Linked DNA regions of Kluyveromyces lactis. The protein of the gene in region 2 binds, or shares a complex with, the protein of the main gene of each other region. Links are inferred from orthologs where the notes say so. Each region holds a gene or a part of one and is shown on either strand. Other genes may lie near its edges.

Evidence for each region.
Region 1: MRPL40 (region 2) and MRP35 share a complex: the UniProt entries of both Saccharomyces cerevisiae proteins name them as parts of the mitochondrial large ribosomal subunit. The link is inferred for Kluyveromyces lactis from reciprocal best matches to the Saccharomyces cerevisiae genes MRPL40 and MRP35.
Region 3: MRPL40 (region 2) and MRPL3 share a complex: the UniProt entries of both Saccharomyces cerevisiae proteins name them as parts of the mitochondrial large ribosomal subunit. The link is inferred for Kluyveromyces lactis from reciprocal best matches to the Saccharomyces cerevisiae genes MRPL40 and MRPL3.

Annotation. Positions count from the first base shown.
Region 1 is NC_006042.1:2,237,023-2,248,649, forward strand, and holds MRP35 (mitochondrial 54S ribosomal protein bL35m), read left to right. Parts: upstream 1-5,916; coding exon 5,917-6,204; downstream 6,205-11,627. Other genes in the region: DCP2 (decapping enzyme complex catalytic subunit), read left to right, coding at 1-593; NCS2 (Ncs2p), read right to left, coding at 700-2,091; COX23 (Cox23p), read left to right, coding at 2,398-2,766; protein channel TOM70, read left to right, coding at 3,432-5,246; NMA111 (Nma111p), read right to left, coding at 6,427-9,384; ORC6 (origin recognition complex subunit 6), read right to left, coding at 9,644-10,894; histone methyltransferase SET1, read left to right, coding at 11,239-11,627. UniProt on the Saccharomyces cerevisiae protein: Component of the mitochondrial ribosome (mitoribosome), a dedicated translation machinery responsible for the synthesis of mitochondrial genome-encoded proteins, including at least some of the essential transmembrane subunits of the mitochondrial respiratory chain.
Region 2 is NC_006039.1:830,523-842,391, reverse strand, and holds MRPL40 (mitochondrial 54S ribosomal protein uL24m), read left to right. Parts: upstream 1-5,836; coding exon 5,837-6,727; downstream 6,728-11,869. Other genes in the region: KLLA0_C09735g (uncharacterized protein), read right to left, coding at 1-525; phosphatidylinositol N-acetylglucosaminyltransferase SPT14, read left to right, coding at 940-2,280; NIP100 (Nip100p), read right to left, coding at 2,298-4,763; CDC31 (centrin), read left to right, coding at 5,032-5,535; HNT3 (DNA 5'-adenosine monophosphate hydrolase), read left to right, coding at 6,959-7,930; proteasome regulatory particle base subunit RPT4, read right to left, coding at 8,027-9,331; GCD1 (translation initiation factor eIF2B subunit gamma), read left to right, coding at 9,771-11,255; COX10 (protoheme IX farnesyltransferase), read right to left, coding at 11,508-11,869. UniProt on the Saccharomyces cerevisiae protein: Component of the mitochondrial ribosome (mitoribosome), a dedicated translation machinery responsible for the synthesis of mitochondrial genome-encoded proteins, including at least some of the essential transmembrane subunits of the mitochondrial respiratory chain.
Region 3 is NC_006041.1:681,237-690,134, reverse strand, and holds MRPL3 (mitochondrial 54S ribosomal protein mL44), read left to right. Parts: upstream 1-1,745; coding exon 1,746-2,693; downstream 2,694-8,898. Other genes in the region: MSS1 (Mss1p), read right to left, coding at 1-1,401; KLLA0_E07613g (uncharacterized protein), read left to right, coding at 2,917-3,525; PEX12 (ubiquitin-protein ligase peroxin 12), read right to left, coding at 3,576-4,571; fructose-bisphosphate aldolase FBA1, read right to left, coding at 4,952-6,037; TRM13 (tRNA:m4X modification enzyme), read right to left, coding at 7,245-8,549. UniProt on the Saccharomyces cerevisiae protein: Component of the mitochondrial ribosome (mitoribosome), a dedicated translation machinery responsible for the synthesis of mitochondrial genome-encoded proteins, including at least some of the essential transmembrane subunits of the mitochondrial respiratory chain.

The DNA.
Region 1 (11,627 bases), on a different chromosome or scaffold from region 2:
CTTCTTCCAATAACGACCGTAATGGTTCTAATTTTTCAAAGCAGTTTACTGCCTCACCTGCACTAAACGAACCATCTCCTAAAAATGATGCAAGCGACTTAATGCAACTACTGAAAAGACCACAACAGAACAGTGAACCTCAAAGTCCAATATCAGACCTTTCTCCAGCAAGCAAACCCTCAAATGAATTGCTTAATATATTGAAGAATCCCAAGACCGGCCTAAACTCGCAAATATCGGACGATCCTGTGACACACAACACCCAATACAATAGGATGCCTCCTCTGCAAGTACAGCCTCAACAGCCTTTCCAAATGCAGCAAATGCAGCAAATGATGCCACCTCCAGGTTATCCTCCCCAAAATATGTCATATATTCCCCAAGGCTTCTCTCCTCAGCAGCAATTCCAATATCAGCAACCGATTAATGGATATCCTATGCAACCTCAGCCACTTAACATGGGACAACCTGCACCAAACCAAGGTTTTACTAAACAGCAAGAACTTTTGAATATATTACACAAGCCAAATGCTCCTGTTCAAGAAACTCCTTCCAACCCTTCATCTGAATTATTGAGTATCTTGAAAAGATGAGACATTACAGCATTTCGCAATTTCACTTACATATATTTATATATGAGACTTTTCATCTAAGGAATATTTTGATAGTTCAGCTGTATAATTGAAAGAGCTAAATCTATTATTGTTCAGAATCATCTGATGGGATTTCATACTCTTGAAGAACCGCTGTTAGTTCTGCTTTATCATCTCTTCGTATCCACTCTAACTTTCTATCTTTCATGCCAGTTAGAGTGGTAATACAACCGTAACACACGCCTACATTCTTGGCAGGAGTATCACTCATTTTGTTTAGTTTTTCGGCTTTGTCTGGATTAGCTGCCTCCCAGGCATTGTAGTTGGTCAGTTCTTCCTCATTATGAATCACAAATGGCTTGCTAACTGTGATACCGTCAAGCCAATTTACTGGATTCTTATAAATAATGGCATTGCAAATACTACAGTGCATGATTTGATTTAGTTCATTATCAGGGTTAGATAATTTTGCACCTGTTCTAACAACTGTAGATATCACGTTTGAGTAATCACCTTCAATGTTATCAAAATACTGTCTCGCGAGTTCATTCATCGTCATATTTTTGATAAGTTTGACATTTTTGGTAGGCTTGTCCACAAATTTGTCATAAAACAAAGTGTCCTGGACAACATAATTATGAGAGAATTGCGAAAGCCCTTTTATATGACAGTAAGCATCAATTTCTGACAGTAAAACGTCCCGGCCTGGATGAAAGTTTCTGAAGGCGGTATTATATTTACTATCGAGGGAAGAATCATCAAGATAACCTGCGATTTCTGCACCACGTCCTTTAACAGTCAGACTAATGACTTCATCAGCTAACTTTGTCATCGAGTGACCCCATAAGATGGCTTTGAAATTTCTTTGTAAGGCAAATTTCTTAATCAAATGGGTATAAATAATGTTCAAAAGATCTTCTTTCGCTGTTTTGTTAGGCGCGCTGGCAAGCACTTTCTCTACAGTAGTACTTGGATTATTTGATGATCTTACCAGAGTGTTGAAGTTATCAATGTACAGTGTAATTTCTTGCAGATCAAACGGCACGGCAAAGAATTGATTTCTGTCAACAATATGGAACAGAATCTTATCGGAGTTTTCTTTATATTTTGATTTCAGAAGTTCAATCTTACCGCGCACTTCTTCAAACTCTGCCTGTCCACAAATCGTGATTACTTCTACGTGAAATCCAGTTTTTCCCCGGTGTGTTTGTTTCTGCTCCAACAAAGTATCGTTCAAGATATCTAAAACTGCCAAAGAAGAGGATCCCAAAGAAAGCGGCACGAGAACATTGGAATCTTGATTTTGCTTATCAGCTTCTGCCTGACCACGTTTCTTATCTGGATATGAGATTTTGAATATATCTTGGAAGTAGTCATCAGACATCATCTGCTTCCTCTGTTTCAAAGAAATAAATTTCACGAAACATTCATCACAAAATGGTTCTTTTCTCGAGACTAGAGTTGCATCCAGCAGCTTACACCTTTTACAAATGACCATGATAGTTGGACGCAGCGATAAGGTTTGCAAGCACGTATTAACAGGCTTTTATTTGATTCAGTGACTAGTTACTATTAAGAGATGAGATGAGATGAGATTGATTTTCTTTTTTTTTTTTTTTTATTTTCATTTCACTGTGGTTGTTAACATGAAATTTCAATCTAGAAATTTTGGAGTTCTGAAAACCATAGTAAAATATTGAAATGTTAAAATGAATCCAGATGAACTAGTAGCAGATGAGTTACTGGTAAAGGGGAAAATAAAAAAAAGGCTCAAGCTAGCAACTTACTGCCTTACTAACAACAAATGACCGATAAACAAGAAACAACACAACCAGCTGAAAAGCTGCAACAGCCTGAAAAGGTGGCAGAGAACGTCGACCCCAGTCTCGAACTCAATAAGACTAAGGTCAATTTTACACCGGAAAAGACTGATGTCAACACCTACAAGTTCTATCCTGATGATCCAGAATCTACGTTGAACAGATACAGATTTGCAGTGAAAGGTGCTTCTGAATACTACGACCCATGCCAGGAATCATCTAAAATGTCTTTCAAGTGCCTTGAATTAAACAACTACGACAGAGACCTATGCCATGACTATTTCGACGCTTACAGAGAGTGTAAAAAGCAGTGGTTGAAGGCCAGAAGAGAGAAAAGAGAATTTTGGGAATAATTCAACCACATCTGCATGTAAATAGCGTACTTAATGAGAAGTAACTTTCTAATCAATAGCATGAATTATTTATTGATAATGAGCATGATCCTCCATTCCCATATTGAACGACATAAGCTAACAAACGGAACCTGAATAAACAAAAAAAGAAAATAATAACACAAGTTGAAAGTACAGATCACGTGACATAAAGGAATTGATATTACCCGTCTTTCCGAATATTCTCCATTGCTCCTAACTATTGGAATCCGACTCGCGCTCCCTCCAAAACATGGTTTCGGACCCCACATGTAAAGATTTCGACCCAAAAAATATTCCAGATCCCAAACCGAAAAAAAAAAAAATGCAGCTTCCCATTCCGATCAAACACAAATACGGATTATTACGAGCAGCATCAGAGATTCCCATAGGTAAGAAGTTTCCGTAATCGAAAAAAAAAGTAGAAAAGTGCAAAATTAATTATGATATATAAAAAGTTTTGTAAACATTGAGCTATTGTATGGAACAGGACGAACGAAAGCCTCAGGAAATAACACTCAGTAGTAAGCATCAATAGGATCTAGCAGATTTTCATTGATTGAGATATAGGATTTAGTGAAAGAAATTTAGAATCATATCAAGACGCTTTATTTTGGTTTGTTGAATACTGAAAGGAAAAAAGGAAAATGTCGGATAATTCTGTGAGTTCATTTGTGACTCGTAACAAGACCGCCATCTTGGCAACTGCTGCTGCCGGTGGTGCTGCTATTGGTGCTTATTATTATTATAACCAATTGCAGAGGGCAGAATTGGGTTCTGGTTCCAGTGGTAGTAAGAAGACTTCCAAGAGTGAAAAGAAGAAGAGGGCCGGGAAGAAGAAGAAGGATTCGTCTTCTTCATCAAACGGTTCTGATGTCGTTTATCCAGTAGACGCTAACGGTCAACCAGATTTGTCTAAGAAGGATGAGTTTACTCCAGAACAAGTTGACAAATATGCTTTGGCGTTGAAGGACAAGGGTAATGAATTCTTTAAGGCCAAGGATTTCGAAAAGGCTATTGAATATTATACCTTAGCTATTTCATTGAAAGAGGATCCAGTGTTTTACTCCAACAGATCTGCTGCATACGTCTCAATTAACAATTTCGAAAAAGTTGTTGAAGATACCACTGCCGCTTTGAAATTGAAGCCTGATTACTCCAAATGTTGGTTGAGAAGAGCTAGTGCTTATGAAAACTTGGGCCAATTCTCCGATGCTATGTTTGACTTGTCGGCTGTCTCTTTGTTGGGTGAATACAGCGGTCAATCCGTGGAGCAACTGCTGGAAAGAAACATGAACAAACAAGCCACAAAGGTCTTGGGTGAAAAATTGAAGGAGAACCAGGGTAAAGAATCTCCATTACCATCTAACACCTCTTTGGCATCATTCTTCGGTATCTTCAACCCTGAAACTTCTTTCGATGATTACGATGGCGAAAATGAAGCAGATGTTGAGTTGAAAAAAGGTTTGGAAAACTTGTACAAATGTCAAACCGGATGTTACGAATTGGCTGATGAAGAATTCACCAAGGCTGCCGAGTTATACAAGAAAGAATTAGAATCTTCTCCAGATAATGAATCTTTGAAGAAGAAGGCTGCCATCGCCTTCGAACATGTGGGTATTTTCAAGTTCTTCAAAAATGATCCAATTACCGCGCATATTAACCTGGAAGAATCGTTGTCTTTGAACCCAAGACCTTCTACTTACATCTACATGGCTTTGATTATGGCTGACAAGGGTGAAGCCAACCAATACAAGGAATACTTTGACAAAGCTTTAGAATTAGATCCAAACTGCTCTGCTGTTTACTATCATCGCGGTCAAATGCATTTTGTTGTTGAAAACTTCAAAGAAGCTGGTGCCGATTTCGATAAGGCTAAGGAATTAAATCCAGAAAACATTTTTGCCTACATCCAATGTGCTTGCTTGGCTTTCCGTGACGATAGATTTGATGATTGTGAAACTTTGTTCAGCGAAGCCAGAAGAAAGTTCCCAACTGCTCCAGAAGTTCCAAACTTTTATGCCGAAATTTTGGCTGCTAAGAACTCTCTAGATGCTGCCATCAAGCAATACGATATTGCCATCAAGTTGGAAGATGCTTTACCAGGTATTCACGTCGGTATTGCTCCAATGATTGGTAAGGCCACTGCTTTGATTAGAAACCCAACCGTTGAAAACTTCGTTGAAGCTTCCGAATTATTTGAAGAAGCTTGTAAGATCGATCCAAGATCCGAACAAGCCAAGATCGGTCTTGCTCAACTAAAATTGCAACAAGAAGAAATTGATGATGCCATTCAATTGTTCGAAGATGCTGCCGATCTCTCAAGATCTTTCGATGAAAAACTACAAGCTACTACTTTCGCTGAGGCTACCAAGGTCCAGAAAAAGATCAGAGCTGATCCATTCATTAAGGGTAAGATCGACGAAGCTATTGCAGCCTACCGTGCTCAAGGTCTCGCGTAAATTAGCATGATATTCACGAATGAATTTAATTCATTTCAATATGAGTAAAGCTACAATAGCTCATTGTTTTTGTCTCACCTTAATGACCATAATGGCAACATACCATGCAACATCTAAACGAATGAATTACCAAGAAAGTTATGATTTTACAAACAAAAAGTTGTAGCATTTCACCCAAGTTATTTATGACTCGTAAGCAGCGTGAACTGTGTTAATCGTAAACGACAAGATCTCAACATTACAACGTGAAGAATAAGAAATAGTTATCAATTCTTCACAAAAACAAGACAAAAAGAAACACAGAAGAACAAGAATACGAGAACAACGCTTTTCAATAACAGCTCATTGCAAAATATGTGCTCCTAAATACCCCTGGTTCAAAAACATCATCTTCTACCATTTTGCTAGAAACAAATACGTCTTTCTGTATATACATGTATCTCCCCCATCTCACAATTTAATCAAATTGTAATTTTAAACACTTCGATAGTATATCACTACATACGTTTCAACATAAATGACATTTTTTGTTTTCTCTGAAAGAAGTGTATGTAATAAAAGTTTCTTGTGAGATTATGGCAAGGTACTGAGTGAAAGTGAGCTACAATTCAAGTACTTCATTGTTAACGGACTATAGCAGGATTTACCCCACCAGCGAACTACTTCAAATATGCTATCTTCTATCTTTGGTTCGATGATGAACTTTTCCGCTAGAACTGGACTTCTGGGATCTAAAACTAATGTTTCATCGCTCATCCTCACCAGAAACTTGATGAAAACACACAAAGGTGCCGCAAAAAGATGGAGAAAAACAGCCAATAGCTTCAAGAGGGGCAAGGCTGGAAGAAATCATGGTAATGCTGGATGGAGTAGGAACTCCCTTAAATCATTATCTGGCAGGTCATTAGCAGACTCCACACATATGCATCGTTTAAAGAGATTGCTTCCATACCATTAAGAGATGAAAGGCAATTAAAATAAGATATCGTTTCGATTTCAATCCTGTACATATAACAATGGCATCCCCATAATGAATGACACACCATTTCTTACCATGATTTTCAGTAAAGCATGTCATGAAAAATCAGCGGGTTACTATAATGGATAATTATCATTAATAAATACCTATATACAATTTGCAAACAACGGTAAAAAATGATTAATCATATATATAGTCAAATTAAGTCTCCGAGATATCATTCTCGATCCAACTACCTGTTTTTGGATTCTTTCTTAATTCTACCGTTGGGAAGTAGTGATAGTTTGTCTTTAAGGAAATGGCAAACGGAACATCGTCAAATGTCATTAAGCGTAACTTGCAGTATGTATTATCTGGGATTTCTTTAACAACCTTCAAGAATGTATCCAAATCAGGTGTTGATTGGTCATTGACGTGTGTGATAAAGTTGGTCACTTCTATTCCGTACTGTAACGCCAAAGAAGATGTACCACGAGAAACCGCATATACTTCACTAGGAATAGACGTTTTTACTTGACGCACGGCATGATGAGGAGCTTGTAGTACGCAACCTGCGAATACGACAATTCTAGTGGTTTCTTCAATTTGTACAGTTTTTATTTTCAAATCGATAACCTTCGCATCTCTTACAACCTTGAATAACAACTCAGATTCGATATCCGTATCGTCATCAGTCCCCACGACACCACCAATATCCCTCATTCTTTTTACCAGTTTCCCATTAACTGATAAGATAATATCACCAGGCTCGAGCCTTTCCTTTATTGTTGTATAGGAGTTTCTGGTGACACTGATGAATTGTAATCTGTTTTCTGATTCTTCTTCCATCATCTTAATCCATTCTTCAGGAACACCTCTGATTCTAGCCTGCAATAATGAGATGGAATCAAATCCTGCGTCCACAATAGAAACCTTAGGATTCTTACCAGCCCTGAGAATATCTACAACTTCTTTGATATCCACTACGTCTAAACCCATTAAATACAGTTTTTCCTTGTTACCCATGCAGGATAACCAGATTGCTCTCACTGTACCATCATCTGCCGCTAATATTCCTGATTTACATTTGGTGCTTATATTCGAATCAATGGAGATGACTTCTAGATTGGTTGCTCTATACCTAGGAATGATGTCGTTAGGAACACTCAGAGAAGAGATGCCATTGACTTTAGTCTTGGAACTGATTAAAGTGTTTGAGTACATGTAACCAATGAAATTAGTTTCGTCTCCTCTTTCAAGCCTTTCATTAGCTAGCACTGGTGTGCATACTGGGGCGTCAACTAAAGATGGATCATATTGAACAATAGCGTAATTTTGGGTAGGATGTAAGAATACAACTTTAGCAGGTACAAGAATGGATTCAGCGAACGAGACAAACGTGTTCAAACAGTCATGAGGAACAAAACTACGTGAAACAATAACATATCCCTTCTCAGCATCGAGTACTAAACCACATCCGTTTGTGGGTTCGGGTTCCATGGAGTCCATGGTGATAGCAATAACCGAATGTACAACACATAGACTATGTGACATTTTTGCAAGTTTTTTATTATCATTAATCGGTAGATCTAAAATCTTAGCTTTCTGTGGTTTTATTGGAAGTGGTGGTAATTTCTCAGTGATCTTTTCATAATCCCAAATACCTGTTTTGTCATTTCTAGTATAGATTCGGAACTCACTGCACCAATGACGGTCAATATAAACACTGGTTATTCTTTGTGTTTGAACATCTGTCAAGTTATGGAATTTCACGATTACTCTTTTTTCGTCAGGAATTGTTTTCATGACTTCTATAAAGTCGTCTAGAGTTGGTGTTTCTTTATTATCTACAAAATCAATAACCCATCCAGTTTTCTCCTTTGGATCCAAATCGAACGATCCAGTGGCACTTGCCACGAAAACGCCTTTTACAGGTAACGCATAGCATCTAGCCATTTGGTACGAAAGCTCATGGAAATTAGCACCACACACCTCGACATAACGTGAAGGAGTAATAATATGCAGGTCACCAACAGTGCATCTGAAGGAAATATCTTTGGAACCCCTTTGAACCACAATGATTATCTCATCTCCTACACTGCTATCTAGAATGTTATCAACTTGAATAAATGAACATATTGGTGTGCCATTAATAGAAATTAATGTGTCACCCTCTTGAACTTTATTATAAGCTGGTCCCTCTCTGAGAATAGCCTCAGCCACCAGCAAACCAGTTTTACCCGGGAACCTCTTACGAGCTTCCTTCTCACGATCTTCACTTAATCCAAGTCTTCTACATTCATCGAATGGTTTCAATACCCACTGAGTTTGGATAGTACCTCTGGTGATTGGTTTATCCGTTTGTACGCATTGTAGAGCTCTGACGACTCGATCAAGAGGCAAAAAGAAATCTGTAGAAGCCTCCGAAGAGCCACCGGCCTGTAAAGCGACCGCATACCCCTCTACAGTAATAACTGGAGAACCAGAAGAACCACCTGATGCAGCAGCAGCAGCTTGAATATATTCAGTATTAAAATCATTATACGTTAGCTCACCATAGTCTGGTGCATTTCTGTCAAGTCTACTGATGAACCCTGACAAGATACTCAATTTTTCACCAGCATCGTTACCAACAACACGGATTTCAGAACCAACCTTGGCCAAAGATGGTTTCAACTCTAGTGCAGTGACCTCGATATATTTCAACTTCGATGGATCAAACTTCAAGAACCCAAAATCATGAACTGGGTCGCGATAGATAGGGATGACATCACACTCTTCGTGATTGTCGAAAATGGCGTATCCGATGAATGGACCTGGACCCACAACGTGTCTGTTTGTTAAGATGATACCGAGTTTTGCATCAACAATGAAACCTGTTGCTTCCGACACCAAGGCAGCTTCTGAATCGAAAGGTGCGACTTGCGAGAAATGAATTGAGACCACCGACTTAACAACTTTGGAGATAGTTTCTTGCCATTTAGCGTTGTTATTGAATAAAGAGTTGCCTGAATCTATAGGTACATCGTTCACTTCATCATAGTCTTCTTCATAATCAATATCTTCGTCTACACTACTTGTGTTCTGATCGACGTCATTGTCGACCCTCTGTTTCTTGGATTCAAGATCAATGTCTTCAACAGATGATTCGAGTAGGTTTCGCTTCAACTCAACAGTCATTTCACCAGTTACTCGGTACGTACTTCGCAGTTGATTATTCGAAGAGTAATCCGATCTCCAGAGTTCTGACAGACGGTAATGTCTCTCTTCAATTCATCTCATCTGCGCTCTCTATGTTTAGTTATCTTCTTTTTTTTCATCTTGCCGTTCCCTTCGGTAAACGTCAACGTGAAAAATTCATTAGAAAGGTAATGAAAACGTATTGAATGATAAATGCGAAGATGGGGACGGTGAGAAGAAAGGTATCGGAGGAAACCATTCATGTGCCATCTCTTAGACTGAGGTCGACCATAATTCTTCGTTTCCAGTTTGAGTATTGCTCTTCTGATACGACTTCATATTCGTCTTGTAACATGCTGCCTATTCTGACGGCGATAGCGTTATCGAAATCCGATCCATCGTAATAATCGAACTTGACACGGAGTTCTCGGTACCATTTCTCACCGTCTATTAGTTCTTTTGTGATCTTGATAGCTTCCATGATATCTTCATCATTTGTTGTTCTCATTTGTGCCGCCATCTTCTTCATTAGCTTGTTATCGATTGTACTGTCCTGATTTCTCTGTTGGTTGAAGACAACGAACGAGCAAAGAAGTACCAGACCACAAACCAACTGTGTAGGATACGCTAGGTAAGTAGCGTTGTTATTGAATTCGGAAATTATGGTAGCTGTTACTTCTTCAGGAAGTTCAAATTCATTGCACAGAGTCACCAGTTCAGCGGTAGACGGTCTATAGTATTTTTTGTATAGCATGTTCCATTCGTTATACTTACCTCTTTTCTTTCTTGGTGAAGGCGTGTATTTAGAAGGGGAGTCACGAAAGGGTGACTGTCTTAATGGAGATTCAGGATCATCCTCAACTGATCCAAACACTTGTGGTATATTGATCATATCAGTCTTATTCTTCGGGGTTGCTAATATGGGCAACGGAAGGCCATTTTCTGTATCAGCTTCAAACACTAATTTCCTCCGGACACTTGACCTACTCCCTTTGCTAGGTGAAAGATCAACATTCTTCAAGGGCTGGATACCACTTTTAGTTCTTGATTTCGACGGAGTCTGGAATAGCTGTTCTTGTAACGACTTCGGATCTATCCCTGTGAATCTTGCATTTTTAACCGCTGACTTTCTAACCGATGGTGATGCAGTATCATCAAACTTCAGCAATTGTCCTTCGGTATCCTTTTGCGGCGAATGAGGCCATATGTTTCTCTTAAATATATTCACAAGTTTGGATACTTGGTCTGGTGGAAGCGGGATCTTCTCCTGAGAATATGGTAGGTCATTGTCATACTTCTCAGCTAGTTTCTGAAACGCAATCAGTGCACATATATGGCACCGAGCAAGTTCCTCTGAATTCTTCAGCATCACTTTCGATACTGAAACGTTGTATAATGTTGCTGTAGTAGAAGCCACTTTCTTTAACCGTTGGTCTTGCCAGTCAACATTAGAATCATTTTTGACCCCTAATAAATCGGTTACACACGTTCGTACTTGCTGCGTAGACATCTTAAATTATTTCCACGGATTCTTAGCACTCTAAAGTGACTAAAATAGGATCATCTACTCACTTGTTGTATTACACTGGCCCGGAAAAGACATATATCTCATCTCATCTCCATGGACCATTTTTAACATAATATTAAAAACAGTCTTTATGTAGCTTTTTGATCTTTTTCTGATTTTCTCGATTTTCTCCAATATTGAAACAAAATATGGTAAATAATGAAATTGAATATTAATCAAAAGTATCATTATTCGCTTCTCCATCTATAAGTTCAGTTTTGGCAATACTTCTAGTATTTCATCTAGCATAAGTTGCTATTCCAGCGTGTGTGTATATTTTAGTTCTCATGAGTGGGTACTATAATAGACAGTACTCTCATTTTCATGGGAATAATGATCGGTACCAAACCGGACGATATGCATATCAAGAAAATGGGAATAGGTACAAGGGCTTCCAACGGAATGGATCAGGGAACCGAAGATACTCCCGCGAGGGGTTTGGGTCTCAACTTAGGAATAATGAGAACGAATCTCGTCCAATACGGTCGCAGTCGCGTGGTATCAGCGAGATTCCTCGTAATCCCTTCGCAACGCGTCCAGTAGTGAGTGCGAAATACGATCGCGATGAGTTTAATACAAAATATCATTATTACGACATTGTAAGTAAACGACTACGAAATGAATCCAGCTTCAAGAAATGGAAATCTGAGAAGATTCCTGAGCATGGATATGTGAC
Region 2 (11,869 bases):
GTATTCCATATCTTCCTCTAACTTCGCATAGTCGATGGAACGTCTCGCGTAATAGATTAATTGGTTTTTATCCGAGAACATTCCGATAGTGGCGGTGCTCTTGCTATTGGGCATCAATCCGCTCATAACCACGGTGTACACAATCACTGACATGAAAAGTATATACACAAATCTGCGGAGGATTAAAGGATTTCCCAGTTTGCTCAAATATAGATCAACCTTCGCAGAAGCCATTTGATATACCTGTACGAGAGGATCGACAACATTGTTCTTCATTGGAAATATCAAATTATCCTCAATTCTGGTCTTTAACCTTTGAAAACGACCCACTGAACTAATAGTATCTTCCTGTTCTATATCAAGTTCCATTGGAAGTATATCAGGACGCGATTCGATGTCGTATTCAGGAGGATTTGGCGGTAGTAAAGATTCATCCAGGTCAACGACATTTTCCGAAGACACATCTGGAAGACTGACATCCTCATCTTGACTGACGCCTTGGTACCGCCCTTGTGCACGAGGCATTTTTCAGGCTTTAACGAAATGCTCTATTCGCTGGCTTAACGTGGACCAACTAAATATGCTTGAAATCTCACTGCTTACTCGATAACCCCTCAAGATAATATTCGGAAGTGTATTGGAAAAGGTTACGTTTCCAAATTTCGAGGTTATTTTAAACCTTCTGTACAAAATACTCATCGAGACAACCAAAGATCGAAAAACAGTCAACAGAAAGTGGTAAAGAGTGAGGAGTGAAAGTACAGATTAAGTAACGCTAAAGTAAAGCATATTGAGAGATTTAAAACTTCAGTGCAATTATACAAATATTCTTTGTATAGTCTAACAAAAGTTGTAGCTCCAAAACGGGTTAATCTGAACGATAAATTGTTTCGATATATTAAACACTTAATTCATATCAAACACATCAATGTCTAAAGAATGGCTGAACAAAAATACAACATAGCTATGGTTTGCGATTTCTTCTACCCGCAGCTTGGGGGTGTTGAGTTCCATATATACCATTTATCTCAAAAGCTAATCAAAATGGGGCACAATGTTTGTGTTATAACTCATGCCTACGGAGATCGAACAGGAATACGATATCTATCAAACGGTTTGAAAGTTTACTATGTTCCATACTTGGTACTCTATAGACAGACCACTTTTCCAACAGTATTTGGAAGCTTTCCTATATTCAGAAATATTTTGATTAGAGAACAGATTGATGTATTACATTCGCATGGAAGTGTTTCCAGTTTTGCGCACGAAGGAATACTACACGCGAATACAATGGGGATACAGACTGTGTTTACAGACCATTCTTTATATGGATTTGATAGTCTCGGTTCAATTCTTGTCAATAAGCTACTAAAATTCACTTTATGCAACATCGATGCTGTCATTGCTGTCTCTCATACTTGTAAAGAGAATATAATACTCCGAGCAAATCTTGATCCAGATAATGTGTCAGTCATACCGAATGCGGTTGTTTCCAGCAGTTTCAAGCCTAGAGATTCAACAATAAAGAAAAAATCTAACAGAATAACAGTAGTGGTGATTTGCAGGTTGTATACCAATAAGGGAGCTGACCTTTTGACACACTTAATTCCAAAGGTTTGTACGAATAACGATAACGTCGATTTCATTGTTGCTGGAGATGGGCCAAAGTTCATTGCATTCCAACAAATGATAGAAAATAATAGGCTTCAGGAACGCGTTCAACTTTTAGGATCTGTGCGACACGAACATGTTAGAGATGTCATGTGCCAAGGGGATATATACCTGCATGCAAGTTTAACTGAAGCATTTGGAACAGTTTTGGTTGAAGCTGCGTCGTGCGGGTTACTAATAGTAACAACATCTGTCGGTGGTATACCGGAGGTCCTTCCTGAATATATGACCGTATATGCCCAGGAAACCTCGGTATCTAGTTTGATAAAGGCGATGAACAAAGCGATACATCGCATAGGACATAGCAAAGTTAATACAACACAATTTCATGAAACTATCGCACAAATGTATGACTGGATGAATGTGGCTGAAAGAACCGTCCAGGTTTATGACAGGATATCTTTAGATGTACGCTCCTTAAACAAGAATTGGGTCGTTATGCTAAAAAAGTATTATAGACAAGATGGAAATTGGGCCAGATTATTGTATGTTCTTTGCGCTATAGTGGAATATATTTTACTCTATATTTTAGAAATTCTATATCCAGCAGGTGATATTGATAGGGTTGTTAAATGGAATTCCCGCATTTGTAGAGACCCTCATATATAATGATTAATGATTAATAATTAATACTCACCTTTGAGCATTTCGTATGTATATGTCACACATAATTCATGAGTTTCTTTCAATTTTGCGAGCCTGTGCTTCCTAATGGAGGTAAACTCATTAGAGATGATAGGGTCTGCTAACTCAATGCACGTCGATAAGATATTTGCCATATTGTTGAAATCATTGAACATGTTTCTACTGGAAAACTGTTTTCGATGAGTATCAAACAATGGTATGGACAATTTGAGGCGAGATTCTTGTTCTTTTCGAAGAATAATCCTCTGTAAATCTGAGATTTCAGCGATCAATGATAATTTATCATTGTTTTCTCTAAGCGATTGGATATTGTTTAATGCCTTTGTATGAAATAAATTATTGGCGTTCTTTATTTCTTGTTCTCTATTGTTGCGATACTGCTGGTACTCCGCCTCCATGTTCACCAATTCATCCTGAAGGCTAGAGTTTCTTGATTTCACTTCTAATAGCTCATTTTTCAAGCTGGATAAGGAACCTTCCATTTCCTTATTCCTGGCATATTTCGACTCAAGAACTTCAATTTTGAGGATTAAGTCCTGGATGATTTGATCTTTTTCAGATATCGTCTGTTGGAGAACTTCAACCTGAGCTTGGGATTGTATCACATTCTTTTCAACTGAAGTGTTTCTTTCCTTGTTTTCCAACATGTCGACAGGAATTTGTTTAATTTCCTCTAAACACACTGACAACTCATTTGGTTTTTCCTGTAGGGATAGGACTGACGTTGCAAAGTGAACATAAATCGAGAATAAATTCACATCAGACTTTAAGGTTCCATTAAATTCATAAAGCTCTTCCAATTTCGTGGTGACGAAGGTGTTAATCGTATGGAAAGTGTTATACAGGCTTCTTATTCGCTGCTGATCAGATTCCTTTGACAAGTGTTCAGTATCGGACAAAAGTCTTTCCACCGACGCTTCAAGAAACATTTGAATAGCCGTAAATAGAACCCTAGGATCCGATAAAGTGATGTCTGCATTTTCTAATAGAGATAATTGAACCTTGATTGGATGACTATTTTTTACTGATTCCAATAATAAGTCCAAATTGATCTTTTCTTTCAAATATGTCACACCAGCATCATATTTAATCATCGCATAATATATGAATAAAATTAGTTGAGATGTGCATATACTCACAGCGTCTTGGCTAAGAAGTTGGTCTCTCAGGTATATGATTTTAATTTGAGAAAGTAGCTCCACTTTGTTATCCACTTTCAGATGGCTAAGCTTTGCAGAAGATACCTCGTTCTGGAATTGAAGCTCATTATTCCTTAATTGTAACGAAGTAAGTTCTGCTTGTAATTCTTCAACTTCTGGTGACATTTCTTGAGAATATTGCCCCGATTTATTTTGCAGTGATTGTAATTCATTCTTTAAGGTTTTGTTGTTTTCCTTCAATGCGTTAATTATGCTCTCGTCAGTAGAGAGAGTTTCCTGAAGTTTCGCTATTTGAGAATTTAGCTCCGATTCGACCTCTTTATAAAGTGCTTCTAGTTCTTCATCTGCCAATTGAGTTTGTTTCAACTTGAGTAACTCTGACTTAAGACAATCAAGCTCCGTACTTAATTGATGGTTTTCTGTAGTAAGAGATTCAATGATGTTATTAGAATTACTATTCGCACTGAAGTGCTGTTTCAATTCATCTAATGTTTTTGTTGTTTCAAATAGTTTACTCTCTAAGGCTGATATTGTTCGCAAATATGTCTCTGCCTGGGTTTGCAGTTCTTCATTACTATTTTTCAAACCGTTGCATTGTTTCTGTATTTCTGTTAGGTCTGATTGCAGCTTTTGTAGTGCAACCGTTAATAATCTGTTTTGCTTGATAAGGGCATCTGATTCTACTGATTCTATCTGATCAGTGTTGACATCAACGTCTGCTTTTCTTCTTATTAAAATTTCTTCTTTATAATCATTAAGCTCCTTCAAAGCACTTTCATGAGCAATGGTCAAGCTTTCTAATTCAAATATCAGTGAATCATTGCGTTGCTCTGCCTCATCTCGTCCTAAAGTTAATTTCTCCAATTGTTCCTCGAGAAATTGCACTTTTTCAAGCTCTTTTGATCTCAATCCCAGCTCCTTTTCAAACGAAATACATTTGTCATTAACTGACTTGAGTTTAACTTCCAATCTTCCAATGATCTTTTTCAATCGTTCGGGATCTGATGAGTTAGAATTCGTAGTATCAGGATCCTGAAATTGTTGCGAGTTCGGTGCAGAATTTTTATAGATACCCTCTCTTCTACTGAATATACCATACATCCGACCTTTTCTACCCTCACTGAGTTCAAAGTACCTGACTCCCTTGACGCTACCATCGTTCTTCCCTAAGGGTTCATCTAACTCAACACCGATCCAAATCCCCGCTGCAAACTGCGTCTCGCCTATAAACCGTACAGTTCCTGCCAGGCTGCGTAGCACTACCCTATCTCCTAATTCCAGATCCATTGTTTCATTTTAGAACTAAAGAGTAGTTGATCTGGCAGTACTGTAAGGTATTCATCAGTTATTGCCTTCATTTCTTTCAGGATATGTGTTTATGTTCCTTAAACTCAATATTGTCAAAATAATCATAAACATGAAATCTTTAAACATATTTTAAAGAAGTTTCACGAAGTTTACGCGTGCAGCAAAAGAGGTAAATTAAGAGGTTCGATTGACTTACAGCCAAGACTCACAACGGCAAGAAATCTAACCCAATTCGGATCATAGAAACATGAATAACAGAAGGCCCAGTGGACGAGTAGCGAAATCCGTGGATAAATCCACTTTACAAAAGGAATTATTAGAAGAACAGAAACAAGAAATATACGAGGCGTTCTCACTCTTTGATATGAACAATGATGGATATCTCGACTATCATGAATTCAAAGTCGCTCTAAGGGCATTGGGTTTTGAACTCAGTAAAGGAGACATATTAGAACTTATCGATAGGTATGATGCAGACGGACGCCGGTTAATACAATACGAGGATTTTTACCTGGTAGTAGGAGAAAAAATATTGCAAAGAGACCCATTGGATGAAATTAAACGTGCCTTCAGGCTATTCGACGATGATAACACGGGCAAGATCTCATTGAAGAATTTGAAACGTGTAGCTCACGAACTAGGTGAAAACCTTACAGACGAAGAACTACGTGCCATGATTGATGAGTTTGATCTTGACGATGACGGAGAGATCAATGAAGAAGAGTTCATTGCTATATGCACTGACAATTAGTGCTTCACGACCATTTCCATTGCCACAGCTGGAGCCCTGTGCCGCATGTATATCTCACCTTGTATATCCTATGTAACATCAAGCTATAATACTAAATCAAATGCGAAGAATCTGATAGTCTAATTCGGATCACGTGCTTTCATTTTTCCCTTCCAAAAAAATTTGTCGATGAAAAACTTGAAGGAACGGAATCAAGAAAGACATATGTATCAATATGGTACTATGGAATGAACCACAAATGGTTTATGTTCTGTGAAAAGGACGGTGGTATTCGATACTAGAATAAAATAGATCAGCGGGTATGTCTTCATATAAACATTTATCGAAGGCTGGTGCCCGTTTTTTGGAGCAAGTTCAAGCGAAGAACTCTAATATTGCGAAACAATTTGCCAAGTATGAAGGTTTGACGATGCCAGAGTTCTTGAAACCATCGTTGCCTCGTGTCGAAGAATCCGAGAAGTATAAGAGTGTAAAGCAATGGAAATATATGCCAGGTGATAGAGTGGTGATAGTAAATGGAAAGTTTAAGGGCAATGTTTGTGCCATTACGCAGCACGACGTGCATACAAACGGGTATATTTTGGATGAGAATGGACCCACCAACACTGTTCCTGTGCCCAAGCAATTTTGGCAACAGGGGCAGAACAGTCATATGGTGAGTTTCCCTGTCCCCGTGAGCCAAGCGGACATCAAACTAGTCGCTGATCTCGATGATCCAGAGACTCCAGGTGTGGCTAAGACTGTTGCTGTTCGTGACATCGAATTCAAGGGTTCGTATTATGATTCAGATTACAAGAAAATTATGCCATATAGGGTTGTTGTTGGTGAGAACAATATGGTTGTTCCATGGCCTAAGCCGGAGTTCAAGCCAGATGGTGCATTGGCTACGCGTTCTGAAATTGCACGTCAACAAACTTTCTGGGTTGAAAGCGTAGTAAAAAATCCTGTTCCAGAAGCAGCATTGTCAACCATCCGTAACCCTAAGTCGAAATACAGAAGAGGTACCTTGACAACGAAGGAAATATCAAGATTGGTGGCTCCAAAAATGCCTCTAACGGAAGCAAAGAAAAGATACATCGAACAAAGAAAAGAATTGGCAGCATTGCCAAAACGTAAATTGACTGATGAAGATCAAGAATTGATTGGTGACAAGGTCTACCAACACTTCAAGAAATCTTTCGAATTACAATAAGAATAAATAATAGTTTTGGCTAGCACTTAACTGCCATTCGTATCCACGCTACTTGTACATAGATCATAATATCATACTTCATCGCACTTTTATCTGACTTTTTTTTTTACTACATGTTTATTTTGAATGGAAATCTATACGTAAAGGTCATTACTTGTAGTAACAGACCTCAACAATTTATGATTATAGTAATGACTAAATGATTAGATAACTGTTACTAGTTCATAACAAATGGATGAGTGCGGTCCAATATATGTTATAGAATGGAAGGAAAGTCCAGGCGATCAATGGACTATCTCAGATAAATCGGGGTTTACGACTCATTTATTCAAATTAAATGAAGACGCCAACAAAGATATTGTGTACTGTAAACATTGCCGAAAGCAGTTCATCGGCAAGAACAGAGATTTAATTGGTTTCCATATGAACAAAATCCATCCACAAATCACAACTGGAATGACTTATAATCAGTATCTGCAGATTTTCAAACCCACTTATGTACCAAACGCCCATGGTGACGAGAAAAACAGGGAGAACTCGTTCAGCATAGGTCTCAGACCGTACGTTTTGTGTCCAGAACGATTGCCTGAAGTACTCTACTTTGACGACATAGCGACCATTATACATGATAAGTTCCCTAAATCTGAAGAACATTTTTTAGTTTTGCCAAGAAGTCATAAGATCAGCAATTCTCATCCCACCACAATCGACAATGGCATCAAGGTGCAGCTTCAATGGCATATTGATTGGGCTAAACGATTCTGTTGGACTCAATTCATAAAAAAATATGACATAAAAGATATATCCTTGAAAGAGAAAGAAGCTTTCTTGGCGAATTTTGTCCAATCAGGAGTACATAGCACTCCATCAATGGCTAATACACATATACATGTCATGACAAGAGATTTCCATAGTAAGAAATTAAAGCACAAAAAGCATTTCAACTCTTTCAACTCCCCGTTCTTTATACCATGGGATGAACTACCTGTGTTGGACTTGCCTGGTGACAAGGAGCTATCCGAAAGGTATATCAAGAACTTTGAGATGATATGCCCCTATTGTTCCACTAACTTCAAGAATCGGTTTGCAAAGCTTAAGGAGCATCTAGCAGATGAGTTTAATATGCGTTTCGTGTCAAAAAAAGGTTTAATAACTGCAGATAGGGCTATTTCATCGTTTAATAGATTTACTAATGATTCATAATTACGGCAACAATTTTAGCGCTTATACTATAGTGGTTGGTTTTTAATCTTAAAATTATGAATCTACTTGAGATGCCTAAACAAGTGTGTATATTCATTACAACTTTTGATATTCAAGCTTGCCTTCGAGCTTCTTGACTTCGGCAACCTTTCTCACGGCTTTCATTAGATCTTCCTGGTTTATATAATCGCGGTCGTCCCTGATAGCGAAGAACCCTGCTTCAGTTATACAGTTACGGATATCCGCACCGTTAAATCCATCACTCATCTTGACTGCAGCTTCAAAGTCAAATTCTCCAGCTTTTTTTACATTGGATGTATGAATCTTGAAGATTTCTAATCTTCCTGCCTCATTTGGTAAACTGATTTCGATTTTTCTGTCCAATCTACCAGGTCTTAGTAAAGCAGGATCTAAAGTGTCAGGTCTATTCGTAGCCATAATAACTTTCGTTTGTCCTAAGTTGTCGAAACCATCCATCTGAGTTAATAGTTCCATCAATGTACGTTGAATTTCACGATCTGCTGAGGTACCTTCGCTAAATCTACGTCCACCGATAGCATCTATTTCGTCCATAAAGATGATACAAGGTTCATGTTCTTTGGCGTATGCAAACATTTCTCTAATGATACGTGCTGATTCACCGATGTATTTATCTACAATACCGGATGCTGGGGAGAAGATAAAGTTGGCACCGATAGTTGCAGCAACTGCCTTAGCCAATAAAGTCTTACCAGTACCAGGAGGACCATATAGTAACACACCCTTAGGTGGTTTGATTCCCACTCTCTCGAAAATTTCTGGGTTCTTTAGTGGAAGCTCAATGACTTCTCTCAATTCTCTGATCTGTTCCGTAAGACCACCGATACCATCAAAAGAGATTTCACCTTGTTCAAAAGTGGTCATATTATAAACTAATGGGTCAGTTTCTCTAGGTAAAATTCTCATAATAGTTAATGTAGTAATATCAAGTGTGACTCTGACACCCTTCTTTAGCTTGGAACGATCAACGGAGTTCCTCACACCCACAATATAACGAGGACCTGATGACGCTTTTACAATGTATTTTTCCTCGGAAAGTTCCTTCATAACTTCCCCAATGAGTTGGCCAATCGACTGTAACGCCTTGATATCCTGTTCTGTTCTCTCATATTCTGCTTCTAGTACCCGTATGGTTTCTCTGCGTTGCTTCAACATATCGTCGTATCGTCTGTGTTCCATAAGTCTTTTCTTAAAATGTAACATCGCTTTTTCCTTTGCAGCCTGTTCTGGATCCACAGGCTCCACCGTTTCAGGTGCGGCAGCGTTATTTTCTCCCGAATTAGAGTTGGTACCAGCTCCGTTAGTGTCATCACCATCGTTTTCTTCCATTGCTGCTAGTAAAGGATCCTGTTCTTGAGACATCTTTAGTATTTATTCTGATCAGACTAGCTTAATCTTCCTATTCCTGCTTCTCAATATGAAAGGAGAAAAATCCCGTACCTTTATTCTGTCAGTATTCCTTCCTGGTTGGACTAGTACTGTTATAATGGATTGACTCAACTCAATTGGTTGGATTTGGCCTTTCTTACCTATTCTCTTCATTTGGACTATGGGTTACTAGATTGAATGGTGGCAAAAGCATTCGGAATCTACTAAATAGAAAGGGAGATCATTACGCACGATTTTGAAATTTTCAGGAATAAAGCTTTTCAATATAAGATGGAGTATTGACTAACCTAAGCATCACGTAGGATGATGACCTGCCACGGTACAGTTTGAAGATATATAGTGGGTTCTACGTTTTATTGATGCGTTGATCTCCAGATAAGACAGTTTAATATTCCCAGAATAGTACAGAACAATGGATTTTCAAGCTTTTATATTCTGTGGACGTGGTGCGAAGCTAACACCGTTTTCCAATGTTCGTGGAGACACTGGTGTTCCCAAAGCTCTATTGCCGGTTGCAAACCGCTCCATGATTGAGTTCGTACTAGATTGGTGTGAGCAAGCCCAATTTAAAGAGGTCAATCTAGTTATTGACGCATCCGATGCTGACGAATTAGAGGAAAGTTTGAAAAAATACCGTGAAGTGAGAGGGCATTATTTTGGACTGTTATCCCAAAGCGTTGGATCGAACCATGCTCACTATTTGAAAAAACCATCTCCTATTAATATTATACCCTCAAAATGTGAGAATACAGGAGAATGTCTGAAGAATGAATTGCTAGATAAGATAACTGGAGATTTCGTGTTGTTACCTTGTGATTTCATCACAGACATTCCACCACAGGTGTTTTTAGATCAGTATTTGAATAAAGATCCGGAGAATCTAGCTATGGCAGTATATTATCACAATGGGTTTGAGAATATCGATAAGAAGCATTTAAAGCAATTCCTGACTGTATACTCCGAGAATTTGGAGTCTGTTAGTAAGCCCGTTCTTCTAGACGTTTATTCCAAAGACGATGTGGACAAAACGAAATATTTACAAATCAGATCCCAAATGCTTTGGAGATATCCGAACTCCTCTGTATCCACAAAATTACTGAACTCCTTCATTTACTTTTGCTCTCATGAGTTAGTAAACCTATTGAAGGATGAAACCGAGAAAGGTGCTGGAGAATTAGACTCTGATTCGGAAGCCGTTGATTCTTTGGCCACATCATTCCAGAACACGTCTTTCTTGAAGGGAAAGAAGAAATTAATCAAAGATCCAATAAACTGTAATAAATCGCTAGGCAAGCTATTCAGGGATTTGTCTAGGCGTTCGTGGCAGCATGTGAAACCCAGAGAAACTATAGGTATCTTCGTGTTACCTGAAATCGGATTATTTATCAGATCAAACAGTTTGAGTGCATACATGGAATCCAATAGGTACGTTTTGAAGATTAAACAAACGGCGATTCAACAACGCACTACTGATGGTTCTTCTGCTATCGGTGCAGATTCTATGGTTGGTAACAATTGTGCAATTTTGGAGAAAACCAATATTAAACGTTCGGTCCTCGGTGACAATTGTAAAGTAGGAAAGCGATGCCGTATCGTTGGGTGTGTTGTGCTTGATAATGTTGAAATTGATGATGAAACCCAGCTAGAAAATGTCATCATCGGTAGAAATGCAAAAATCGGCAAGAAATCAAAGCTTACAAATTGTTATGTTGAGGGCTCTTATATTGTCAATGAAAAATCCACTCTCAAGGGTGAAACTTTGACAAGTATTTACATAGATGACGAAGATTACGCATCCTCTTTACTGGATTCAGATTCATCTGGATCCGAGTCTGATTACACTGATGAATATTATGACGATGAGGATTATGTTGATGATGGACTCTTCGACCGTTGAACTTCGGTAAATTATTATAAATAGAGTATTTTTGCATATATCATGATCAAATAGCCGTACCATGTGTACCTTAATAATTATAGAAATCTGATAACTAATCTTCTGAGCTTGTGTAAACTTCTTGAACGGATTTCTGAATATTTACAGTTTATGTTTACAAAATAATTGATGATTTTCGTTCTGAATTAAATACATAATAATAAATTACTATTCACAAGTAAGATTTTCCTGATGTTGAATGAATGTGTGAAATTATGCTGAGAGTTGTTTCTTATCTTCAAAGAGCCAGTCCCAACGGTCCTTTTTATGCAAAATTGCTAAAATCAATACTGCCGGCAAATGTAGTACACTGACCCAGAATGTTCTCCTCGCATAAACGTTGGCCATTGCCAACCCTTTGTTGAATTCTGTCTTGTTATTGTATATCTCCTTGGAGTAATTACGCTTTTGCTGGAAATAAAACTTGAATGCCCATAGTGACATCCAAGCATTAACAAATGCTGAATCCAATTGATAATACCAGTCGGTGACATTGAAGTATGAAAGACCAAAACATAATGGGAACATCAGAAGTGAGTATCGCAGAGCTACACGAGCATTAAGCTTTGGATTCT
Region 3 (8,898 bases), on a different chromosome or scaffold from region 2:
TTCGCAAGCTATTAATATATCGTCATTCTTGTGCTGGAAGAACTGATCTAGGCCGAATAGAATATCAGTGCTTAAAATTTCTTTGACTCTATTGGACACGGTGACTGGATCTTCATTCTCAGTTGCCGAGATTCTTCTGAAACTTAATGTCAAGGTCTTAACTAATGGTTCCAATCCAATTTTGGTTAAGCAAGAGACTGTATGAATTTTCAGGGCTTTAAATTCTGCATCGAACTTTTCAATTAAGTATTTTAACTGGGTTTCAGTAGCTAAATCCGATTTATTCAACACGACAATTAAAGGTTTATCAGATAAGTTATCCTTGATAAATTCTTCAAAATGTTTACTTATATTTGGGTTAGATACATCAATGACCAATACCACTAAGTCACTTTGTAAACTTTTCTTTTTGGATCTGTCAATACCTTTGATCTCAATAGAATCTGAAGTTCCCTGTCTGATCCCTGCCGTGTCAGTCAAGATACATTTAAAACCGTTAATGTCCATCATTACATCGATAGAGTCTCTTGTGGTGCCCGGTATATCACTGACAATCGCAACGTCGTCTTGAGATATTTCGTTAACTAATGATGACTTCCCGGAATTTGGTTCACCCAACAATGTTAACTTTATCCCATCGTTCAAGACAGCCATTCTATCTAATTTCACCATGAATCGAGTCACTTTTTTGTATAGTTGTAAAAGTTTATCATTGGCACCATTCACTATAGAATCGATATCTTCCGTTTCGATATCTTCACCAAAATCAATAATTGCAGTTAGTTTAGCGATCTGCTCTATAATCTCTTGTCGCCATTCATGGAAAATGTCTACGGTCTGATTGCCATGCAATGCAGACAATCGCTGTAATTCTGTATCTGAATGAATCATATTGTTGATACTTTCAAGCTTCAACAAATCCATTTTCCCATTCTGGAAAGCTCGTCGACTGAATTCTCCCGGCATCGCCATACGAATATCTCTTTCAGAGTCCCGCAAACCCTGGATTGAGTTTAACGCTGCCTTTATAATAGCTTTCCCCCCATGTAGATGCAATTCCACTAAATCTTCACCTGTAAAGGTCCGTGGTTGTGGGAAGTACAAGACTAACGCTTCATCTATCAGAGTTGATGCCTTGGGATCATATAATGACCGAATCATCGGTTTCCTCTGCCGTAGCGGTTTTTTTGGCGACAATTTTTTTAAGATATACTTTGAATGTGTACCCGATATCCTAATTATAGCTATTGCAGAGTGCTGATTTGATGGCGTTGATAATGCATACACTGTAGGATGGAAAAATGTCGCTGGAACACTATAAAACCGTCGCAACATTGGGCTGAACATCACTTTTTGCGAAAAATTGAACCAAATGAGAGTGGGATCCTTGTAGACTACCATTACGATTCCAACTGCAATTTATGGTAGTTTAGAATAGTCTGTAAATATGTTTAGCTACCGATTCATCGACAATCCATAGCATAAGTGCGCCGTATCAGAAAGAATCTGGAATAATGAGATGTCTGTGAAAACATATTATTATCACGTGACTACTCGGAAAACATCAACAGTCTACTATATCCGGGTAATTGCAGATCTCAGTATCGAAATATTGAAAAAAAATTTTAGTGAAAGAGTTACAGAGAGAGGATGGAAAGAAGTTGAGTGATGCAGTGAGCTATTGGTGAGGTTTGCCATTGATATATACAGCAATCAACATCACCATCGAGGGGGGTTAAAGAAGGATGTCTGTTTTGAAGCTATTGAACCCTGTGCGAGTGCGAGGATTTGCTTCTTGTGCCAGGTTGTACCAATCAGAACTGTCATCATTGAAAGAATATAAGAATACCATCAGTACACTGTTAAAGAACCCTGCACATGAACTAACAAGCCCCAATTTAGTTGCACTCCATTCCAGATTAAGATTGCCTCAAGGCTTATCCTATTCTCTTTTGTCCAGATGTTTGACGTGTCGTTCTAGTGGGGAAGTGAACTATGACAATGTCAGTTTGAACATTTTTGGTAAGAGTCTTTTAACTTTGGCAGTTACATCCGAGCTAATGAAAAAATATCCTAGGCTACCGGGTGTGGTTTTGAATGCTGCTGTGGATGCATATATTAACGACCATGTTTTGAGCAATGTCGGTCGTTCCTGGGGTATAGAACCGGAAACTCAAAGTGTAGTGGATAGATATGCAAAGAAAGAAAATGTTACCATTACATTGGGTAAACTACGTTATTTCCAAAATTCCGTAGATGAATTGCATAACTTCACTGAGAACAATGCTATGGCAGTTGCCGTAAGGAGTATATTCGCCGCTGTATACAGTGTCGACAAAGATTTCAACCAGACACATAAGTTTATCGCAGATCATATTTTGTCCAGAAAGCTGGACGTTAAAGATTTGTTCGCGTTCGAACAACCAACCAGAGAACTGGCAGCTTTGTGCCGTCGCCAAGGATTGGAAAGACCGGTATCGAAACTACTTGCAGAAAACGGTAGATTGTCTAAATCACCCTTGTTCATCGTTGGCGTTTTCAGTGGTGAAGAGAAATTAGGCGAGGGTTACGGTTCATCTTTGAAAGAAGCTAAAGCCAGAGCCGCTACAGACGCTTTGTTGAAATGGTACTGTTACGAACCAGTGCATGGCCAACAGAATGTCGTTATTGACCAAGGCGAAGTGTTAGTATAGACAGGCCGCATCAGCAATGTATGTTTTCCACATAATCCTTTTCAGTTGAGATCAACTTTTAAAGATTTCTTTCCCTGTAAATATAATATACAAATACATAATAGTAATTCATACACTGTTGTACTCGAACGAAATAAAAAAGGAGGTTGTACGAAACTTAGTTGTGTCTTGAGGCCTTGCCTTATTTATAGCTAGATCCTGTTCTGCATTATTTGATCAAGATATGGATTTGAAGGAGGAAGTTCTGCTGCAAGTTAATTCGACGATCATTGAAAGTAAAGGAGGTCCGTTACTATTTATCCTTGTATTGGAAAATGAAATAGCATCACAGTGTTTTCTGTGTGATGGAGTTGGAAACGTTGATACGAAGCTCAGCCTTTTCAGCTGGAAATCCTCTGATCCAATTGGAATCCTAATGGTTGACCCGGACATTTACGATTACGATGACATGTTACAGTCGTTGAATTCGAAACAATACATTATTAAATCCAAGTTCCATTACTTCCCTGAAACTAGCAATTTGATACAATGGCATGAGAGTGTACGATATCCTTATAAGCTAATCAACTGTGGAGTAGAAATTCAGGATGATCATTCCGATTTAAAACTATTAAAACGTGATTTAAAAGATCATTTGGATAGGATGATTCAATATCTTGAAGATAATGATAGACCAAGCGATGAAATCTTGAAAGAAATTTGGTTATTAAAGCTAAGATACAGTAGAACATCGGCTCCAGACTTAGATTCAGAAATCTCTAGGCTGGAATCTGATATAATGATGATGCAAACGATGTTCAATCAAATGGAAACCAATGCAGAATTATTCTAATGCTACTGGCTCAATTATTCTCATTATTCATTTACTAAATTAATGCAAAACTATATTAATAACTTACGGATGCGTTTATCTATGGGCACACCAGTCGCGAAACATGTATTTTCTGTGCTTACCCATTTCTTGGCACACTCTAAATTAGCGACATATCCAGATGAAATCATGGCAGGTTCTGTTATTTCTTCGCCGCATAGGGGACATACGTCAGTCGTATCATTGTTATCCACCTCTGATGCTACGCCAGGTAGTACTGGAGGTTTTGGTCTCTTTACTCGTATCTCTTTCTTGAATAATTCAGGCCGCTGATTGATAATTTGTAAAATTCTGATCATCACTAGGAAGCTCGGGAATAACTTGTCCAAGAACATGGTCGATGTGCTCTCCACTGCATCCTTGGTCATAGCTAATATTCTGGGTAAATTAGTTCTTTTACGACGACGTTCAGAAAGAGTTAAAGTATTTTTCCTACTTGCAATTCCTTCTTCGGGTTCTTGGTATCGTTGGTATCTTATTTGTGTTATGAAATGGATCATATCAGTGTCTTTTGAATGACGCAAGTACTTTAATTTGAAACAGAAATTTATCACTTTGATAGTCTTCTGTAGCTTAGGATAATAGGCATCAAACCATTGTTGCCATGAGCTCAATTCTGGGCTCGTCAATTTTCTGGACTGCAAGAGCTCATGGTATTGTTCACAGATATCACTAACGTATTCGAATAAACAGTCATTCAACCAAATTCCTAGAAAGGTTAATTTAGGGAATCTAGAAAACCTTTTCAATCCATAGAACTTGTCAAGAATTGTGGCACCTGTTGTTTTATAATGTCTGTATTCAACCAAAGATTTAATCACCAAGATTATGAAGTCAAATTTATTAAAAATCTTCAACAGCCATCGTGTTGGTCCTCTATATTGGAGATAAATGGAGAAAATATACCTTAAAGTTGGTTTGATTAACTTCTTCACTTCATTGACAGAGAGTATTTCGAATAAAGTCGGTTGTTGTAAATTCACCGGGAGATTGGAGTAAAAATCCATCGCTTTGAGTCCTCCCTGTTTCTTGTATTTGTTTCTGGAGTTGTAATTGTGTTAAGGGACTATGAACGTGACTTTGTTTGATTGTAACTGTTCCTATGTTTTTTAACTCTGCTTTCATATTTAAGCCAAACTGGACTATGAGACAAAGTCGATCACGTGAGAGAAAAAGACAAATGCAGTTCGATAACAGGTAAGTCCTCGGTAGCGTCCAAGGATAACACTGGTGAACGTATCCGATGCACAGCGGATCCCTGCCAATCATTTTGTAACTAATGGTTCAGATGTCTTCATTTGATCATTTCATGCGTTCTGGTATTTAAATTGTATATAGAAAATTATAAGTTAAATTGTTTGGGATAATGGTACTAAACAAAAGAACTTTATTCCAAAGCACCCTTAGTACGGAAGATTTCCAAAGCTTGAGTGATTCTCTTGCTCATGGTCTTTTCACCTTCTCTAACCCAGACTCTTGGGTCGTAGTACTTCTTGTTTGGAGAGTCTTCACCGGTTGGGTTACCGACTGGGGTCATCAAGTAGTCCTTCTTGTTCAAGACGTAGTCTCTGATACCGGACAAGTAAGCGAATTGACAGTCAGTATCCAAGTTGACCTTTACGACACCGAAATCGATGGCAGTATGGAAGTCCTTGGTGGAGGAACCGGAACCACCGTGGAAGACCAAGTACAATGGCTTGTCTTCTGCCTTCTTGTTTAATTGCTTAGCAGCGTAGTCTTGGAAAGTACCCAACAATTCTGGTTTTAGGGCAGCGGCGATCTTGTAAACACCGTGGACGTTACCGAAGGCACTGGCAATGGAGAAGTTTGGAGAGATCTTGGACAAAGCTTCGTGGACAGAGAAAACAGTTTCTGGAGTGGTGTAAAGTTTGTCGTTAGAAGTACCTTCGTTGTTGACACCATCTTCTTCACCACCGGTGATACCGATTTCCATTTCCAACCATTGGTGGATCTTGGCCATTCTGGTGAAGTATTTGACACATAGACCAATGTTTTCCTCATCAGTTTCTTCGGACAAATCCAACATGTGGGAGGAGAACAATGGTTCACCGTGCTTAGCGAAGTATTCTTCGTCAGCCTTTAGCATACCATCGAACCATGGTAGCAACTTCTTAGCACAATGATCGGTGTGTAGAACAACTGGGATACCGTAAGCTGGAGCAATGGATCTGATGTAGTGAGCAGCAGCGATAGAACCTCTGATAGAAGCATTTTGGCCTTCGTTGGAAACACCCTTACCAGCAAAGTAAGCAGCACCACCGTTGGAAGTTTGCAAAATGATTGGAGATTTGTTGTCTCTAGCAGCTTCCAAAGCAGCAACAACAGTGGAAGAAGAGGTCACGTTGATAGCTGGAATGGCAAACTTGTGTTCCTTAGCGTAGTCGAACAAAGCCTTGACATCGTCACCGACAATGACACCGGTCTTTCTGGTCAATACGTCTTGAGCTGGCATTGTAATTTCTTTTACGTGTTGTGGGTTTTTTGGTTTAATTCGTATTAAGTTTAAATTATAAAGTACTTCAAAATTAAGGTTTAATTTTTGGTACTATTGGTTATAAGTCAAACGAAACTTGGATTGGTTTTTGGATGATGGTTTTGTATACACAAGATATAATTGAATATAAACAACTACTGATAGATATTAAAACGAATTATCAAGATTTGGGAAGTATGCAATTCATTGTTCTTATTATATATGAATTGAATGGAGGAAAAATTCACGAACAACCTTTTTTTCCATATTATGATACTGATCAATTTAGAAGAAGATAGACGGAAGAAGATAATTATCCAGACAGAACATCACTCAGAAAAGAGGGATAAAGATGATGATATGAAGAGAGCTTGCGACAGGTGTTCCAACTGCCACTGCACTATCTAGGCAATCAGGCCGGGCAAAACTGCCAATTTCTAGAAACACGTATGTTGGTTGGTGTGATTATACATCGCTCAATTGCATCGCAAAGTGGGTTTTGAGAATATCATGTGGCAGTTATTGCTAGTCTTTGTCAGTTGCGTTGAGTAGATCAGCTTATTGCACGTTCTCACTGCGACTAAGGCGAAACTTTTTTGTAAGAACACAGAACACCAACTGCCTGTACGTGAACACATTCTGGTAGCTTCTTGTTTAATGCCAGTGTGTTTTTCAAGAAGTCGGGCGTCCAGTAATTAAGGTTCCAGCTGCGGATTTTGTTTGGCTTTCTTTTTCTTTTTTTTTTTTTTGTTCAGTTCTCTGTCAGGCCACCTCTCACGTGAAATAGGGCTTCCACTTTTAATGGAGGAAGCTGAAATTTTTGGGGAACGGAAGAAATCCGTGCAGTTTTGTTTGGTAACTCCCACTGTTGGAGTGGTTGTTCCGATTATAATGGTCGGAGAGGGAAAACCGTCTCAAATTCCGGGACAAATTTTGTCCCGGCGGTGTCATCATCTTGTTGTTACCCTTATTGCAATGGGCAACCGTTACTGTACATGTGACCTTTGTTTCCATCTAGGGTATTGTTAAGAAGCTCGTAGCACGGGAAAACAATTCAAACTCTCAGTGCATTTGCATTTATTAGTACCACATTTTGTTCTCTGCATCCTGCATCATTATGCTGCCAGAAGATACACTTTTTTACGTAAGATATGTACAGGTAGGTTAAGCGGAGGGTCCTCCTGGTTTAATCATGCTTCCTCAATGCCAATAGCGCAGTGTCCTCCAAAGTGACAGCGCTGTCTGTGTACTTGAACAAAACTGTTTCGAAGCCTTTTGATTGTAGAAACTGGGCTCTTCCTTCATCTATGATCCTCCTTGCCATGTGTCCAATGCGTTGCCTCTCGTTGTGCGTCAATTTCGTTATATGGTCCTCCGAACCACTGTTGGGGTCCATATCTGGTCTCAATCCGCACGTACAATAGGAACAGAATTTCTTTAAGCATTGGAAGAATTCCGAATACGCCATCGAACCATCGGTCTGTCTTTTCAGTAAACCTTTGATATACTCTTGATTCACATACTCAGAAGATTGACATACGTGTCTACAACACATTGCAATAAGTATTCCTCTAAGGTTTGCCTTGCATTTATCGCTGTTCAAAAGGCATCTTAGCGATAAATCTGTGGCCACACCGCATAGATGTTTTGAGATAGCCACGTATTGAGATGCATCGTGGAGTACTGCATCCAATCTAAGATCCTTAATATCGATCTTCTCACGTCTGATTTGAACTTCGGTTCCGATGTCAGAACTGAACTTATTATCAAAACGTAACCTTTGAGAGGCTCTGTCAATGAGGGTGAAGGAGGGTGCGACGGCTTTGTACTCTGGCTTTTCATGAGAATGCTCCTTTTGGTCCAGATTTGTAGCGATATTAACGTACCTTGAAAATTCAGCTCTCCCACAACCAAGTTCAATGTATTCCAGTGTCTTGTTCACTGCACATGATTCTAAACTTGGCCATAGTTTGGACTCTTTAAGATGTTGAATCAACGATGATTGTTGTCTTGCATGTTTCCTATTAACCAAAGTCTTGTACCGTTCCGTACGTTCCAAGAGTTCGTTTTGTTTCTCGATTAATGGCAACGGAGGTTCGTCACCAAATTCATTTTGAAATATCTTCTGAATCAAACTCACTGACTTAACTAGTGTCTCATCTGCCGGCTTACTGTCTGACTTCCCGTTACTGATGGAATTAAGTCCTTCTTTAAACCATGGAATTTCGCGCTGTTTTGCTTGATATGAAACATCATGTCTAAATTTATTGCATTTCCTCATATGCACACGCATCTTACTCAAGCACACAGTATGAGAAGGGTCCAATGGACAAGGAACTCTGTCGCTATCAGTAGAGTGTTCTGAACAGAACTGGGAACCAGCTCGTCTTGTCATTCCGCACTGTCGCTTCTTTTTCACGAGAAAAAACTCACATTGCAGTCTTTCAGCGGTTGACTGTCCGGTATTTCCTGATACTGTAACAGCCATCATTATGTTTCAATTATGGCTTATAGAAAAGACGCCATGATTACAATCACAAACCATTTGATTTCACCTCATCTCGTATCTCATCTCGAGATGATGATTTCACAAATCTCTTGTTGTAAAAAAAAAAAAAAATAAAATAAAACTAACAATCGAAGAGCCAAGTGGTTTGGTGGAGTTCGTAAGCCATGATATTTTAAGGTCACATGCTCATGATCAGCGGTTCTGTTGCCTAATCTGGTCGCTGCAGTCAACCCACCTTTCTGCCCACTCTTCATTGATCACGTTTTTCTGTCATCTTTGAATGACCTGACACAAGAATATTTTCGGTAAAAAGAAACGGCAGAAAAGAATC